2 linked regions of the Coturnix japonica genome follow. The main gene of each other region encodes a partner of the protein of the gene in region 2 in a complex. Links are inferred from orthologs where the notes say so. Each region holds a gene or a part of one and is shown on either strand. Other genes may lie near its edges.

Evidence for each region.
Region 1: the proteins of MAD2L1 (region 2) and MAD2L1BP are in contact, whole or in part, in a crystal structure (PDB 2QYF), measured with the Homo sapiens proteins. The link is inferred for Coturnix japonica from reciprocal best matches to the Homo sapiens genes MAD2L1 and MAD2L1BP. Residues at the interface, in NP_002349.1 of Homo sapiens: Tyr33, Arg45, Thr52, Leu54, Lys122, Asp126, Glu127, Arg129, Ser130, Arg133, Gln134, Thr136, Ala137, Thr138, Thr140, Phe141, Leu142, Leu144, Glu179, Val181, Arg182, Leu183, Arg184, Tyr199, Asp205; in NP_055443.1 of Homo sapiens: Pro61, His79, Tyr82, Gln83, Gln85, Pro88, Leu89, Pro90, Gln93, His96, Ala185, Leu187, Arg188, Phe191, Arg192, Phe195, Asp198, Ala199, Phe200, Ser201, Glu202, Leu203, Gln204, Ala205.

What each region holds. Positions count from the first base shown.
Region 1 is NC_029518.1:27,746,409-27,755,355, forward strand, and holds MAD2L1BP (MAD2L1-binding protein), read right to left. Parts: upstream 5,633-8,947; 5' UTR 5,589-5,632; coding exon 5,283-5,588; intron 5,041-5,282; coding exon 4,510-5,040; 3' UTR 2,883-4,509; downstream 1-2,882. Other genes in the region: epoxide hydrolase 1-like, read left to right, coding at 1,121-1,229, 1,548-1,667, 2,590-2,791; GTPBP2 (GTP-binding protein 2), read left to right, coding at 6,621-6,803, 8,290-8,316, 8,864-8,947. UniProt on the Homo sapiens protein: May function to silence the spindle checkpoint and allow mitosis to proceed through anaphase by binding MAD2L1 after it has become dissociated from the MAD2L1-CDC20 complex.
Region 2 is NC_029519.1:48,823,429-48,832,383, forward strand, and holds MAD2L1 (mitotic spindle assembly checkpoint protein MAD2A), read left to right. Parts: upstream 1-3,968; 5' UTR 3,969-4,030; coding exon 4,031-4,106; intron 4,107-4,265; coding exon 4,266-4,412; intron 4,413-4,500; coding exon 4,501-4,621; intron 4,622-6,021; coding exon 6,022-6,125; intron 6,126-6,712; coding exon 6,713-6,885; 3' UTR 6,886-7,333; downstream 7,334-8,955. UniProt on the Homo sapiens protein: Component of the spindle-assembly checkpoint that prevents the onset of anaphase until all chromosomes are properly aligned at the metaphase plate.

The sequences.
Region 1 (8,947 bases), on a different chromosome or scaffold from region 2:
CACAGAGTTGCAGAAACATTTAATTGACTTGCCAATTGAACTGGCCTATAAGATTGGATGTCAACAAAGTGCAAAGCAATTAGAGGAAGAAAATCACAATCAGCTCTGGTCTGGCTGCTGCCGTGGGGGAAAAGCCATGAGTCATGGCTAGTTCTTTGAAATGCAGCCAGCTTAGTCAGAGTTCAAGAGCATTTTACAGTCTGTCAAATAAAGCAAAAAGAGGCAAAGAATTAAACAAGGATATTTGGAATTCATTGCATCCCTGTTGGCCCTGTTTTATATGTACGTTTTAGAACCAGAAGGATACAGAAAGGAGAGAAAAAAAGGAATACTGAAATGATCAGGCAGCTTCCATACAAATGTGGCATATAGTCCAGGATTCTGACCCATAGGGGAATTAAAACCAATAAATAAAAAAGCAGGGACTCCATGGCATACTACAAGAGAAGGGTGTAGAAAAAGAATAGGAAACCTTGTATGGCCCTACTCAATTTCAAGGAATAACTGCCTTGTCAGTGCAGCTCTCATCAGGCAGGTTTAAAGCAAGCTTATATATTTTTTTTTCTCACAGCACAGTTTGCAGTATGTAAGCTACAGCACAGGCTGAATAACAAGCTGCAAACAGGACTACTCTTTGAGTTTGTAATCCACAGATGTTTAATACAATGGTTGAGAGGCAGCTTCCAGCCCTCAGTTCATTGCCATATGGATCATGCATTAGATGGTACATCTAGGCCTCAACTACTGTTGGCTGGTCAAAATCACTTACATGATTTCAGCCCATAGCAAATTACCCTGACACTGCAGGGGAAATTGTGCCAATGCACAAACTTAATTAGCTATGTCCATAATTTAAATTGGAACAGCAGTGTGTGTTATCTTCTACAAAGTTAAGATAAAGGTATACAACCCTTAGCATCATTAATGGAGTGACCGCTATCCTTGTTTTACAAAGATAACTTGGTGCATACATGCTACATTTATCTCATGTTAGTGCTCTCTAATAGCAGGAACAGGTAATGCAGTATTCCACTCTTTAAATCATACAAAAGCTGATGAACTTTGAAGTACTTCAGCACCATGCAAATATAAGAGCTCTGCTGCTCTTTGCTTGCATTAGGTTGTGGACTGAATGACTCCCCTGTGGGGCTTGCTGCATATATTTTGGAGAAATTCTCTACGTGGACAGATAAATCATTCCTGAAGAAAGACGATGGAGGCTTGGAAAGGTAAGAAAGCAAATGTCATCCTGTGAGAAAACTTGTAAAACAACCACCTGATGATAACTGATGAGGAGATAGACAAAAGGCTGGCCAGTGCAAGCTGAATTTTAAGGATGAAAGATTACAAGTAGGTAAGTAGGAGTTTAAGCGTATAGAGGGCTGCCTGCAAGCTACTGCTCTGCTTTGGGCACGTGAATGTAAATTGTTTTGCTGCTTGAAAATGAGTAGAGAACCAGAGGACCAATGGCTTATCAGAGCATAGGCCTAATAAAGTATGTTGAGAAACAGCTCACAGTTCTATTGAATCTTTTTTTCTCACACTAGCAAGTACTCTCTGGATGACCTTTTGACCAACGTGATGATTTACTGGGTGACAGCATCTATTGTGCCCTCAATGCGCTACTACAAGGAGAACTTTGCCCGGGACTTTATGGCTGATGCCAGGTAACAAAGTGGCAAGATGGGTGCTGAAACAAGATTAAATTAGACTTACCAGTATAAGCATTCAGATCACTTGCAAATTTAACCTATACTAGGAAAAAAATAAAAGGCAAGCTTTTTTTTGTTATCTTCAATTGATATAGTTAAGGGATGCTTTTCTTTTAAACCTGTGATTCACACAAGTTGGTTTGTTGCCAAAACAATGCAGAACATTTAACAGAGCTAATTCAGATCTGTGTTCAAAATACAGCAGGTCCATAGACTTACTGGACAAACAACTGTAATCCATGGCTTTGTTCACTAAGAACAAACCAGAAAATCACAAGCATTTTGAACAGGTTTAAACAGGAAGGAGATGATTTACAGGTGAATAAACCATGAGCTACAGCTGTTAAGCAAAAACTGTAGAAGCAGTAAGTGATTTTTTTCCAAGGAAACAAGCTTCCAGGAGAGCAGAACTTGAAACCAAACACCTTTAACAGCTGCTAGCTTTGAGATGACTGCAGGAGAGGGTGACCAGGAAGCAAAACTCAGCAAGTGACTGATCTTAGCAAAAGAAAGTCATGTTCTCTGTAGACTGACAGAACCAGTTCACCTTCCCTCTCAATAGGGGTTATACTGGTACCAGGAATTCTAAAGCAAACATGAGTTAGCTCACTTTGGAGTTTGGCACAGAGGTGTGGCTTCAACACATTTCAATACTGAACTCTGCACAAAGGGGACTTCATTTCGTGCATCTTTAGATATAACACTTCTGAATTCAAGGAGATCCAAACACCAGTGGAGCTCCTCAGCAGAGTACAAACTATGAGAAGAGTTGCTGTGGTGAAGTTGCTTCAACTCATGTGACAGCTGTGAGTCAGAAGGTTTTTAAATGACTTTGAGAAGTTCTTCTTGAAAATACTGTTAATCAATGTCTTTTTAGGGTTGGAGTTTACGTTCCAACAGCTGTTGCGGCTTTTCCCCAGGAGATAGCACATACACCACAGGTCTGGGCAAAGAAGACCTTCAAGAACATCGTCCAGTACTCTTACATGCCACGTGGAGGACATTTTGCTGCCTTTGAGGAACCAAAGCTGCTGGCACAAGACATCATCCGCTTTGTGAGAAAGGTGGAGCGGCTATGAACCTGAATTTAGATACATGTATAGAGTGGAAGCAAGTTGTTCTGCCACACACAGAAGCCTTACTTTAAGGGATTAAATAAACTCAATACGATCACAACACAGAAGCCATTTTATTTTGATAATGATGATGATAACTATTAAACTTGTTTAACTCTAAAGCTCTTCATATGAAAAAAAGCATCTTGTCTTCTATTCCTGGCACCGTATCACTGCTGCATTCATAATTCAAGTATAATTGAATATGTAAACAACTTAATGCAGTTACATTGCACTCATCTGGAGGAGATAGAAAGGAATTGGCCCCTTGTTCCTTCTTCAAATACTGAAACTTTAGCATACTTAAATAGACACTTCAAGCAGCTTTGGTGGAAATGTAAAGGGCTTAGATGTCCTGAGGATATCAAACACTCCTATGGAATCATTTGAGTTACACTTCATTCAAGAGACCTGTGATTATACTCTCAAGTGAGCAGCTGCACATAAGGCAGCTCTCCTTATTCCAGCAGTCCTTAGAGCTAGTTTTAGCACTTACTAGCTGTCAATGGATAACAAGGCAAAAATGCACCTGTAGTGTTCTTTAAAAAAACTGATTTCCTTCCAGTTTTACAATCTTATTCACTGCCAAAATGTCAGAAAAGCTTAAAATATGCACTGAGTGCAGAGGGTTAACTCACCCTTTAACAACCTCCTTTCAAATGATTTTTATCACCCCATCAAACAGCTTTTGTTAGCACCTAGTAAGCAACCTTACTACCAACAGCTTAGAGATTCTCTTCTTATGGATGGAGCTGTTTAACTCATTACACGGCAGAGACATATCCAGATGACTCAAGACAACTCCAGCAGATATCTGGTTCTGGCATTTGTTTCTCCTCCCTGCCCCAAAAGCAAATAAGACACTTTTATTTTCTGTTAAGTGAGAATAAGCTTTAACATTGAGGCAGGAGTCCTAACTTCATAGGAAGGAGAGAATAAACTGCTTGCTCCTAACTTTAATCACATATCAATCTGATTGTTAGGTCTGATGGGCTAAAAACTAGTAAAGAAATAGGCAGATGTGCTCCCTTGCCTTCACAGGACCACTCAGCCTCATTTCATCACCAATATAAGACACAGTGTTAGGTATGAAGTCTCCCAGTTGCTAAAGGGCACCATGCTGGATTCCTAACAATCTGAAACAATGTTATGGGAAGAAATATATCATCTACTAGATGGGCAAGCACTTGAGTACTCAAACCTGAGTAGGCTGCAGGAAAAGGTCTTTTTTCACATCAGTGAGGTAAAGACTGGTTATGGCCTTCACAGTAATGGCCAGCTATGTTAATAATCATATATGTTATCTTGTCCCAAATGATCATAAAATGCAGTAATCATTAACAGAAATGGCTGCAGTAAAACTCAGGAGAGTAAAACACAGAAGGACTGTACCCGATATTTGTCAGTTCAGCAAGCATGTCACAGGGAAGTTTTTACACCCAATATATCAATTAATCTCCTTAAGGAATCACTATATCTGTATGCAACTGTGCCTTAAAGGGCATTTGCTTTCAATGACAAGTCAGGAGGTGAACATGGAAGAAGGTGGTCCAGGAAGGCAACAGATGTCCTAGAGAAGAGATCCAGAGAGACAAGAGTGTGCCATTATATTTGATAGGATTATTGCCTAAAGCAGCACCAAAAAATATTCAATATCCCATTAAAGTTCTATAGAGCGCAGATCATTCATGGAAGCCCTTGAGCGTCACTGGTGCTTGAAACCATATGTAGTCCTCCCAAGCAGAAGTCAGAGTCTGAGGAGCTGAGGCACTTGTATCAACGTCTCCATCACAGGACAAATTAATAGTCAGTTTCCTTCCTCGGGTTGGCACTTTGTAGTTGAGCTTGGGCCGGAACCATTCCGCACCACAATTGCGATGCCCTTGGAGCATAACAACAGTGCCCGTGACGGGAAGAGCTTTGAGTTCACTGAAGACATCTGCAATGAAGAGCGAGTGAAAAAGCTTACGTACGCAGGATGTGGTTTTCAGGCTTTTCTCAGCGCTGCCCACACAGATCCCCTCCAAGTTGAGCTCGTAAAGCTCCTTGGGGCTCACAGCATTGCCACCGAGCAGAATAAGAACACGGGGAACCAGCGTCAAGCTGAACATCACTTCCAACTGTTGGAACACTCCCTCCAGCTCCACCAGCACCTGCTGGCACTTCTTGCTTGCCAGGCCCACAGAGGACGGCTTCTTGATCACATCTCCATCCTGCAAACCAGAACAAAAGAGACATTAATACAAGTAAAAAAGATTGGAGAGGGTCCTGATTCACTCTTCATAAAGTATGGTGCATCCCCTCCTCCATCCACGATGGAGCAACGTGCAGAAGGCAACATTTGAGCTTGGAGCCTACAGGTTTCTAGAAGGGGACACGTTGGACAACGAGTGAAGGCGCTGCAATTGCGGCTTTTAAACGCCCCCCCCCCCCCCAAGGCAATGCCGCCCCCCACCTGCGCGGCCCGCTGGCAGAAGTATGCGAGCTGCTCGTAGGGCAGCGGGAGCTGCTGCCGCTGGTGCAGGACGTGCTTCAGCAGCTCGCAGGCGAAGCGGCAGCAGCTCTCTCGGCTCACGGAGCCCGGGAACACCACGGACACGGCGGGGCTCAGAGCCGTCGGTGCGCTCCGCCGGGACCTCCTCCCAACGCGGCCGCGCTCCGGGGCTGGCGGCGTCTCCGCCGTGAGGAGCGGGGAGGGCGGACTACACGGAGCCGCCGCAGCCGCCACACCGGGCGACCGCGTCCCTCCCGGCGCGGCCATTTTGTGAGCGGCGCTGTCCGCCCGCTGCAATTTGAATGGCCGCCGCCGCGGGGCACCATGGGAGCGGGGGAGCGACCACTGCGCGGCTTCCGGAGAGCGGGCGCCATGTTGGATGGGGGGAGGGCGCTAGGAGCCAGCCCTGCGCAGCAGAACAGCAGAAGAGCGCCCCCCAGCGGCCGGGACAGCGGGGCTGTGCCCTGTCCCACAGCCCGCCCGCAGCGCTGCGGGGAGGGGGCACGGCGGTGATGGGGGCCGGCCCTGCACAACTCCCCGCCTCACATCGCCCCGGGCGCTGTTGGGCAGGAGCAGCAGCGCCGCAGCGAGGAGGAGGAGGAGGAGGAGGAGGAGGAGGCGGGCACCCGGCCGGGGTGGAGGGGGAGCGGCCGTGTTTGGAAACAACGTGTCCGCGGCCCCATTGGGCGCTGCCCGCCACGGGCCTCCCACAGCGTGTTGGCAGACACGGACACGGCGGCGCCGTGCCCCGGGTGCGGGGTGAATAGCGGGGTGCTGCTGGCACGGCACATGGGGGCCGAGCCCGGCGCTGTCGTTGTGAGCCCCGTCGGAAGGAGCTGCGGTGTCTGCGTGAATTGTCACGTACGTGGTGCCGTTTCTCCGCCTTTACTGGGTAGTTTTGCTGCCAGACATGTTGTAAAGCGCCCCGGCTTCCCGCCCCCGGTGCCAATATCCGTGTGCTGGAGCGCCCCGTCCCGTAACGGAGAGCACCGGGGCACCCCGAGCTCCATGGCCGCCAGGGGGCGCCGCCCGCACGGGACTTCAACTCCCATCCGCCCTTGCGAAGGGAACCCATAGAGGACGTTGCGGGTAGCGCCGCGGGGCACGTCGGGAGCAGCAGTCCCGAGAGGGGCGCGGCGCGGTGCGTGCTGGGAATCGTAGGCGGGTGGCGCCGTGGACTCCGTTTCCCGTGGTGCCTTGCGGCGGCTCGCTGACGGCGGGGGCCGGGGCGGAGGGGAGCCCGGGCGGGGAGCGGGGACAGCGGGAACGGCGGCGGGCGGCGGGGCCTCAGCGGCCGCCATGGATCCGCGGGTGTCGGAGCTGTTCGGGGGCTGCTGCCGGCCCAACGGAGCCGCGTTGCGAGGACGCGGAGGGGCCGCGCCCGGCGGCGGCGGCGGCGGCGGCGGCGGCTCGAAGGCGAAGAAGAAGAACGGGCGGAGCCGGGGGGGCAAGGCCAACAACCCGCCGTACCTGCCGCCTGAGGTGACACGGCGGGGGGCGACACGGGGCCTGTCAGCGCCGCACGACGGGATGGACGGGACGGGGGGGCGGCTTTGTGCGCCGCGGGGCCGGGGTGGGAATGAGGGGGAGCTCGGGGCAGCGCTGCGGGGGATCCCCGGCTCCGGGATACAGAACGGAGCTCGGCACGGCACGGTACCGGCACGGCTCGGGGAGGCGGTGTTGTCGTACGCCGGGATGCGGCGGGTGCCGGCGGGCTCGGAGGGAGCGATCTCGGTGATGGTATTTGCCTCTTGCAGCTGGAAAAGCTGCTGGTGGTACTTGAGGGGTGTGTGGGTCAGTGCAGGTTGGTTGGCACAGCTGTGAGCAAACTGGGCGGAGAGCATTAATACATTGTCCCGCAGAACACTGCTCAGCACTGCTGGCCGAGCTCTCTGTAAGTTATCGCAGTCTGTGCCGGGAAGGGGCATTCCCCACACCGGGCTATAGCGAGGAAGGAGCTCAGCTCGGCTGTGTGAGATCCTGTCGGTGGGCAGGATTGTCCCCTGCAGCTGCAGTTCAGTTTTGCTTCCCTTCAGCTGGAGGCTGCACGGCCCCTGTGGTTTCAGCACGGCTTCCTGTCCTTGGCCGCCCCAGTCTAGTGTGTTGCTTTCCTCTAGGCTCAGCTGCCTCAGAACAGACCGACCCCCTTGTTTAGAGGACAGCACAGAATGTGAACGCAATATTTTTCTTAAATAGCAAAAGAGTAAAACCTCCTGCACATAGCCTTCCCTCGCTGCATAGCTCTGCTTCCCAAGTGCCGAGCTGGCAGCTTGGAACTTCCCTCTGTTGGCCTTCCGCCACCATAAGCTCCACTGTGGTTAGAAGCTCAGCTAGAAGGCAGGGAGAGGACTGTTGCCTCTCTTGACACGCAAATTGGTGTCCAGAGGTAAAGCAAGTGCTTAGAGTTGGCAGCTCAACTTAGTCTGCCAGAGTACGTGGCTTCTTAAAGGCTCCTTAGACCAAATCAGTGCTGAAGTTACTTCAGTTTAGACTATACGTTCTCTTTGGAAGCTGGAGCCTGTTGTGGTCGATGACTCTATGGGCCTTTCTGGTTTAGGCTCTAAAACAACTTGGTGTGCACTGAGTGGACAGAAGGTTGGGATGGTGTGCTCTGCAGTGTGGGAAGTGGCTCTTTTGAGCCTGGAACTCTGTGTGACTGGCCCTGTTTTTTGTGGACAAGTTAAACAAACAAGAAGGTGGCAGCGCTACCCTTCTGTGTTATATTCTACTTTTATCCCTTGTTTTTCGTTATATGTGATGTAAACAGCAAAAAGAAACCTCAAGTACGTTCTAGTTGAGTGTGGGAATGAACAGCAGAATAGACTGTAATCTAACAATAAATTTCTGCAGTTTTCCCTCTCTGAAATAGCCAATGCAAGCAGTAGAGAGTATCTTTTCAGCTGATGCCTATAGAAATCCCTGCTGGCACAGCATCTAACCATTCTGTTTTGTTTTGTTCTCTGACCAGGCAGAAGATGGTAACATCGAGTACAAGGTGAGCCTTTTGTGGGGGTAGGAGGGTTTCTTCGCAGAGTTGTCTCACAACAAATAACTCCAGGAAAGACAGTGTGTGGGGAACGTGCCCATGTGGACAGAAAGACAGACACTGTACTAAGGAAGGAACAGTCAGTCATCTTCTGAGTGCCCAGAGATACCCAGTGTCTGAGCTGGAAGAGTTTGAGCTCATATTGACAGCTGTAGGTGTCCCTGATAATCATTTATCACTCGGTTTGTGGCTGTTCTGCTAATCACGCTTGGCTCATGTATCACAAATAGGTCCCATGGTGCTGTTACCCCCCAGCAGGCAGAGTACAGACCCTTTGGGAAGGTGCAGAAATGCTCTGCTGCCATATGCACGCATCCCTGTGAAACACTCTCTTAGCATTCCCATGGTTTCTATTTAGATGCTAACATGGGGTGTGTTTCCCAGAGGTGGGTCAGAGCAGGGGGCTTTGCTTCACAGAGTTGATTTAGAGTGCTGCTGGTTTGGGCTCTGGGATTGCTTCCAGGCTGTGACTATAACTCCCCCCTCTGTTTAACAGCTGAAGCTGGTGAATCCCTCGCAGTACCGCTTTGAACACCTGGTGACACAGATGAAGTGGAGACTACAGGAAGGCCGCGGTGAG
Region 2 (8,955 bases):
TTCTTCCTTATATAGAGGAACAGATGCCTTACTTAGAAAGTCACTCTCTCATATTTTCTTAAGCTGTTCAGTAATTATAAGAAAAATTCGCATGCCTGTTCTGATAAAGAATCACCATTCTGACGATGGGATTCCTAACATGCATGGGGATGCAAATGAAGAAAAAATGCAGAAAGTTTACTTTTCAAGAGGAAATGAAGGAATGATTCATGGTGGGATTTTTTTTGCTTCACATATTTCTAATGCAAACACTATGTTTCACAATTTATTTGTCTCTCTAGACATCATAATTCTGAGGCAGTTCTCAAGACACAATTACTCAAACAAGTCCATCTTTGTTATGTATCAGAAAAGACACAACAAAAAGCAAGCACAAATAACAACTATAGAATCATAGAATCACCAAGGTTGGAAAAGACCTAATAGAGCATCCAGTCCAACCATTCACCTATTACCAACAGCTCTCACTAAACCATGTCCCTCAACACAACATCCAAATCATCAAAGTCATTGTAATTGTGCAACAATACTCTATGAAAAGCCTTTCTGACACTATCATGGTACATTCAACCCTGCTAACCCACCTACAATATTCTTTTGTACCTCAGTGCTTAATGTCACGACAGTCTAACTCTCTGCTGATGTGTCTGTTCAGCCTGTTACTTAGAAAAGACCTGTTTTTAATTTAAACTGTGGTATATCTCTTAATAAGTCTAAACTACCTAAGAACTGTATCATTTTCCATTAATTTATTAATACGAGAACTTCAGATATGACAGGGGCTTGACACAAACTGGATTAACATTCATCTTTCTAATCATCAACCTTCAGGTGTTTCACTGGGGACTTAGAGCTGGATTCAATGGTTTTCATATCACCTATTACCGTGACATCACTGAGCACTACAAAGTTTTCAAAGCATGAAAGGCCCATTTAAGTCCTGATTTTACTGATTCTGTAACGGGATTCCTGTCTTAAACCAAAACCCTTCAGATTAATTGTTCATCAATTAAGTTGGCTTTAGCGTAACAACAGCAAAAGGTAAATCAAAACAGTTATTTTTCATCCAGTGTTAGATAAGGAGCTCCATTCAAAGATGTTTTGGTACTGTCAATCTATGTTATCATTTCAAATACAAGTACCAACACCTATGCGGTAGTAGATATCTGCTTCCTCCAAAGCAGAGAAACGTTGAAAGAATTATTATGTAAACAAAAGTGACAGCTTATGTATACAGTTCATATTCCATAAATTATAGAAACTAAACTAGAAAGAAATGACACGCATTAATGCCCCATGTTAACTGCTGAATAAATATGCATGATTCTATAGACATGCTCATACAATCAATGAAGGTGCACCTTCACAAAATGCCTTACCATGAGAAAAAACTTTCATTGTGCCACAAATACGCTTGATTTTTCCCCACAGTCAATGAAAAAAGTCTTATAAAAATACCAGTGTTTGCATTTATAAAGAATACTTATATACAATTAGAACTATACCCACAATGTATTAATGTGCCCCCTGGCTTCTCAAAGGCTTGTCAGTGCCAATATGTGTACATATGCGCTAGCTCTCGGTGTTCAGAACAAGACTGATATACCGTGGAAGAAGCTCTCACTTTATGTATGAAATGTGCCACATGTACCAGACATAACGATATTAAAATGATATTACAATGGGAAACACCCATGCATAGACAAAAAGACTTCAGTGCACACACTTTTTACATCTCTTAGAAAAGCAGCCTCTATAATCAAAAATATTTAGTTCAGAGGAAGAAAATTTACCTACAACTTGCAGGGTGCAGGCAGGAAAATAAGCATACAGAGTTAAAAAAAAATAAACAAATCTTCATACAGTTGATTTCTATCACGAACTTTATTTTCTGATTTCAGACCAAGTATCTCCTTCATTCTGGAACACGTTTTAAGAACTGGCAAAGAAATGCATCTAAAATTCGTCTAAACTCAAGTACTCGGTAAAACAAACTCGCTGCAGTTCAAGACTAAACTGAAAGGATGCAAATAATTCATGTGCCTGGTGCCATCTCCTGGTAGCTTAGAGATAAAACCATCAGAACACTGAATGCTGTTTCGCAATAGTAGCTTTTTAAACTCCCCAAATTCACAAAAGCTGTTTCACTAGACAAGAAGGCCACTATCAAGACATAGCTTCATTCATGCTAAATGATGTTTTCACATCGGATTAACACTTGCATAACGAAACGGAGATTGTAAATGGCTGGGCTGGTTCAGGAAAAGCCTTTAGCCAGGAACAACCCACACATCGTTCCCTCCCATAGCACACAGAACTAAGCAGATATAATAAAAAAGTAGCAATTTCACTAGAAACCGTGGAAGTTCAGCTAATTGAGAAGGGCCTCAGCCCACCAGGAGTTAAGACAGCATCCAACACAGGATCTACAAATACCACAATATGGACTGAGGGAGAAAGGGAGCAAAAAGTCAACAAACAAGCTCAACACTCACCATCAGTATTAGGCACAGACAGTTTCAGATGGGCAGCATTATAAACCCCCAAAGGCAACTCAAAACAATATGCAGAAAATAAGAGGGATGAAGGTTAAAGTACTAGTTCTATGTGCTAGTAAGTAGAGAAGCTCCCCCTAAAGTGGGGAAGGAAATAAAGGAGCTTGAGATCTACCAGAACAGGAGAACTAGAGCTCTGTTACCCACAGTAAGATTTCCTTCCTCTGCACAGGAAGAACTGGATTTTGCTGAGACTTAATATGACAATTTGTTAATGTGATAAGAGGGCTTTTATAACAAACAGGACTTTTATTCTACAGACTGTTTTATTCTGCTGGCAGGAGAGACCTGTCCACAACGACCCGAGGGTTAAAAAACTAAACAAGAACAAAAATAAAAGCCCCAAACCTGGGAAGGAACTTTACACATGGATTATTTCTTCTTGTCTGCTGAATGACTACAGGAGCATGACTAGAGTTGCCTTAAAAAATTTGCAGGAGCAGCAGTGATCTGGATTGTCACAGGTTCATTAACAATGGCCATGGGGAAGCAATCATTAAATGTTGCAGAAAAGCCAAGATAAATAGGGGATGTTTAATTCCACAAAAAGAGAATAATAAATATATATATGTGTGTGTCATATCAAAATGTAATTGAGAAACACAGCAATGACTAAAGAATCATAAGAGAACCAAATTAAATGCAACTGGGATTTCACATTCCTTCTGAAAATTAAGGCTTTAGCATGAGATAATTAAAGCAAGGACGGCCAACTCGTGATGTGCCAGAACGTATAACTCAGTCTGTCATCTGCATTGCCGAGTCCCCGCGAGCTGCTCAGGAAGCGGGCTGTCAGACACACCGCTCCCTCACCCACAGCACTATCCCCACTGCTCCCCGTGACAGCCCCACAGCCTCCTGCTTGTCACGCAGCTGGACATGCCCTAAATGTGAACTACAGGCATCAGCAGCACATGGAAAAGCTCCTCATCCGCCTCTGCCAAAACACGGAGAAACCAATTTGTGTTGAAGCAGATCAGCTACCTGCAACGGGAGACCCTTAAGAATCCACCAGAGCGCTGAGGAGCCGCACTTCGCTTCTATGAGCGCTGGGTTTGTCTATTCCACCGGGTCTAACTACAATGGCGCAGCGGAGGCGGCTCGTAGGGAACCTCGGAGGGAGAAAAGCACGAGAAAATCCCAGAGTGGGAAAGGAAGGGCTCTGAGAGCGCTCTGGGACGGGAATAGCGCAGGGGCTGAAGGAGAATAGCGGGTATTAACAGCAATCCGACTGCTAAACGCTGAGCGGGGCGGCTTTCGTACTGAGCACAACCAGAAATAGCCCAGAGAAGAGGCAGCACCTCCATAAGGACACACGCACCCAACGGCACCTGACGGGACGCACCCACACACCGCAAACCCCGCCCGCCAACGGCCGCACCCCGCGCATGCGCAGCACGGCATCCCGCCTGCTCAGCCCTCGCAGTCGGCCGGAAGGGGCGGGGCGTGATTTGAAGCGGGCGGCGGGCACCGCCATGGCCGCGCAGCTGGGCCGCGAGCAGCAGGGAATCACCCTGCGGGGCAGCGCGGAGATCGTCGCCGAGTTTTTCTGTAAGGGGCTGCGGGCCGCCCAGGGGTGCGGGGAGACGGGGGCGGGTTGGGGGGAAAAAGGCGGGCGGGCGGCTGGCTCTAATGCCGCGGCCGACATGGCCGCCTGTAGGGCGGGAGGGGTGGCCCCCTTACAGAAGCCTCCCCGCTTTGTGCGCGCAGCTTATGGCATCAACAGCATCCTGTACCAGCGGGGCATCTACCCCCCTGAGACCTTCACCCGCGTCCAGAAGTACGGCCTTACCCTGCTCGTCACCACCGACCCCGAGCTGAAGAACTACCTCAACAACGTGGTGGAGCAGATGAAAGGTGAGACCTGCCCCCCCCCGCTTCCCGTCCCCTTTTCTCCTTCCCCTTTTTCTCATACAGCCGTAGTAAATGCTGCGGCCTCTTCCAGAGTGGCTTTATAAGTGCACCGTGCAGCGCCTGGTGGTGGTCATCTCCAGCATTGAGAACAATGAGGTACTGGAGCGGTGGCAGTTTGACATTGAATGTGACAAGAGCGCCAAGGGTGAAAGGTGAGTGACAGCGTTTCTGTGCCTGCTTCTCCCTGTTGGGAGACACAAGGGAAAGACCAAGTATGGTAGTGCTACCTCTGTAACCTAAGAGCTATCTGACGTTACCAAATAAAGCTGTGGGTGCCATTGATGTGCTCCAGGGACTGGATGCAATCCAGGGGGACCTGAACAGGCTGAGCAGTGGGCCCAAGTGAGCTTCATGTGATTCCACAAAGCTAAGAGCAAGGTATTATACCTGGGTTGGGGCAACCCCTGCTTTCAGTACAATCTGGGGGACATAAGAATGGCGCACAACCCTGCTGAAAAGGTCTTGGTGGCAAGCTGGACATGAAGCCTGAAATCATAGAATTACCCAGGTTGGAAAAGACCTTGAACATCATCAAGTCCAACCGCAGCCTAACCAGTACCCTGACTCTAAAAACCCTACACTAAATCATATCCCTGAGTAGGGATATGACCTAACAGCCCAGAAAGCCAACTGTATCCAGGGCCACATCCAAAGAATTGTGCATGGTCAGCAGGGTAAGGGACGTTATCCTGCCTGTATGCTCTGCGCTGGTGAGCCATCACCTGGAGTACTGCATCCAGATTGAGAATTCTCAGTACAGGAGAGACATGGAGCTGTTGGAGTGTGTCCAGAGGAGGGCCACAAAAATGGTCCCAGGGACAGAACAACTCTCCTGTGAGGATAGTCTGAGAGAGCTGAGGTGTTTAGCCTGGGGAAGGCTTAGGGGAGACCAGAGAGCAGCCTTTCAGTATTTTGAGGGGGGGCTATGTGAAAGAAGCTGACAGACTTGTCAGGGCACAGGGTGTGATAAGAGTGAAGTGTTTCGCTAAAAGAAGTGAGGTTTAGATTGGATATAAGGAGGAAATAAGTTTTTTGGCTTGTTTTTGTTTGTTTGTTTCTTTTTTTACAATAAGAGTGGTGAGGCACTGGCACAGTTCATCCAGAGTAGTAGTAGATTCCCCATCCTTGGAGCCACTCAAGGTCAGGCTGGCAGGACTGAGCAATCTTGTGGATCTGTAGGTGACTGTTTATTGCAGGAGAGTTGGAATACATAACAATTAGAGGTCCCTTCCAACTCAAATGATTCCATCATTCAGTTATCAAAATGTTTTGTAATCTGCAACTGAACAAAGTCCTGTATTACTGCTCTTCTGCTGTTTTGCCAAAACTCTCACCCAACCCAGACAGCAAATATGTCCTTAAAAACACTGCGAGGTTTCACAAACAACAAATTGAAAGTTACAGTTTTGTGAGCCTAAGGCTTGAAAGAATGCTTCTGCATAACCATACAGCAAACATACCCCACAGCAGTGCAGCAAGAACTGTGTTTAAAGAAAGCTGTCAGTATTGGAGGTGCAAGTTGTTTTCTTAAAGAGTTTTCTCATTTTTCCAGCGCACCCCGAGACAAATCTCAGAAAGCCATTCAGGATGAAATTCGATCTGTTATCAGACAAATCACTGCCACGGTAACTTTTCTGCCTCTCCTGGAAACTGCCTGTGAGTATTTGTAACTTCTCCGAAAGAAATGACACTTCTTTCAGAAAGCCTGAACTAGCATTTGATTGTAGAAAATCTTTTCCACTATTCTGTTTTTATTATTATTATTTGAAGTGTCATGTATTGCATTTCTGGGTATATGTTTGGTTAGACCAAGACAGTCTCAGCTATGTACAGTATAGAAGCAGCATCAGATAAAGTACTCTAAGTATTGTCCTGTACTGCTTCTTGTACAACAAACTGAAAAAGAACTGCTACTGTAAATACTGTGCTCTCTTTCAATCAAGCACTTGGAGCAACTTCATTGGAAGTTAAACTCTTAAACTCGTTTTTTCCCCAAAAGGTGCAATTCAAGGTGATTTAAGTAGCTTGAAGAAACTTGGTGTATCTGAGGACCTACAGCTGTCATAAATATTGCGACTACAGGAATGATAACTAGTATTTGTTTTCATTCCTTTAACTGCCATTTCTTTTTCTATAGATGCCATAACTACTGATAACCTTCTTGCATGTCTCCATGCGTTTTAACTTCAATTATGGTATCATTCCTATGTGTGTAGCATTAACTTTTTCCCACCTGCTTACAGGTGCCTTTGACTTGCTGATTTACACAGATAAAGATTTGGTAGTGCCAGAAAAGTGGGAAGAGTCAGGACCACAATTCATTGCCAATTCAGAAGAGGTTCGTCTTCGTTCCTTCACTACCACGATCCATAAAGTCAACAGCACGGTGGCTTACAAAAAGGATTCTTTTCCTTAAAACTGTTTCTTGTACATATCCTGTCCTCTTGTATAGTGTCTGTTCATAGAGCAGCTATGTTGTGAACACATGATTGCTCTTGCTGAATGTGCAGTATTGTGCCTGATAATGTGGTGTAACACTAGATTAAGGTGGCACTGTTTGAAGAGCTCTGAGGTGTTCATGACAGTATTAGGCCTGTTTTTCATGCAAGGTCTGGATTTCATGACCAGAAATAATCCATATCTAATCCCAAGATTAATTCTAAAGTTTTTACCATAAAAGCAGCTGATGAGCAGGAAAAGGCCCGAACAGATGAAACACAGCATTTTGAAGAACATGAGACTGCAGTTCTGGAGAGGGTGCTGTTCTGCATCAGTGTGTCTTGTCCTTCTTCAGCAGCTGCACAGCATTTTCTATGTCTGTATTCTTGTTTTATGGAATAAACCTTGAAACTGTATAGAGTTCTCCTAGTCACAGAATGTGGGAATTTGTATTTTAGATGTTAGAATTCTGTATAGCAGCAGTTCAGGCTAATGCCGCAAGTACCTCAGTCACAAATCAAGTGCTTTTGTCAACGTGAAATCCATGAAACTATTCATTAATTGTAGTTTGTCCCCACTCGTGCCTAATACTGTTTGTGGATGATTAGTGATGACTCTATCAATTTTGCGGAATGGTCCTGTAAGATCACCTGGTTTCAACCCCTGCTACAGGCAGGGACACCTACATCTCGATCAGGTTGCTTAAAGCCTGTCCCAGCTCCCTTCCAGGGAGGAGGCATTTACAACCTCACAGGGCAACCTGTTCCAGTGTCTCACCGCCCACACAGTGAAGAGTCTCTTCCCAATATTTAGTTTAATATTACCCTTTTACATCTTAAAGCCATTTCCTCTTGTCTTGTCACTACATGCCCTTATAAAAAGTAATTCCCCCTCTTTCCTGCAGGCCCCCTTTAGGTACTAGAAGGCTGCTATCAGGTCCCCCCCCTGGAGCCTTCTCCAGTGTGAAGAGCCTTAATTCCCCATAATCATTAAGCACAGCGTTGCCTTCTAAATTAGTATCAGACAACAGGCCAGCTGAAGAAGCTCCATAAAAAAAATTTACACTAGCATACACTGCTTTCAGCATTCCCAACAGTCACACTGGAGTTACTTAGTACTTAAGCACTTATGGTTTGACTGATACACGAGTGGTACAATACTATCATTTAAAAAGAGTTTATTTTAAAACTATTGATTTTGTAATATTGCTGCAGAGTGTAAATAATGGGCTTTCCTACCAGGAAATATCCATCCCCACAGCAGTCCCATTTTAGAATATTAGAAAGACACTATATAAACCAGTAAGACAAATCATACTGCAGCTAGACTGTATTTAACAGAGGAATAAGCCTAGTACTTCCCTCTGCCTGTCAGTGGTGTTGTTAAGCAGCTGACTGCACTACCTGCTTACACCTAGAAGTAGGTGCGCTTTAAACAGTAAAGTGCAATTTTAAGCACTTCCCTTGGGGAGGACTGGATCAAAGCAATGGTTGCTGTTCCCTTGTAACAAATTTACATCAGAGAATGCCAACGCGTGCTTCATAGCAAAGGTGAGAGGGTGGACTGGTACAGTGCCAGCAGTAAAAGGTACTGAAAACAAAGATAAAAAATCCAACGCCTTAAAAAAAAATCAGATTGCTCCAGAAAGTTCAAGTCATTTCGTTTTTTGCACCAAATAAAGTTTCTTTCTCAAGGACCAGCCCGGAGTGCAGCTTCATCACCTGGATTTTGTTGGCTTTCTTTACCTTCTTTTTTAAAGGTAGCAATAGACAAGAGATGTAGTATATCATTGTAGAGAGCCCAGGTCCATGAAAATTACATGTGAAAAAGAGCAGGTTCTAAGTCCTGGTGTTTTTGCAGAGACTGCAGAACAGAAAAGAAAGAAAGAAAAAAATTACCAGTCATTTGAACACATTTTTCCCAGCAATCCAAAAATCAATGGATTTGGAATAGCCCACTAGCACCAATAGCTAATGCAACCCATGATCTCTAGTTTTCTCTGAGACTGTGAGGGTCACCATAATATATAAACTCGCGTCTTTGATGG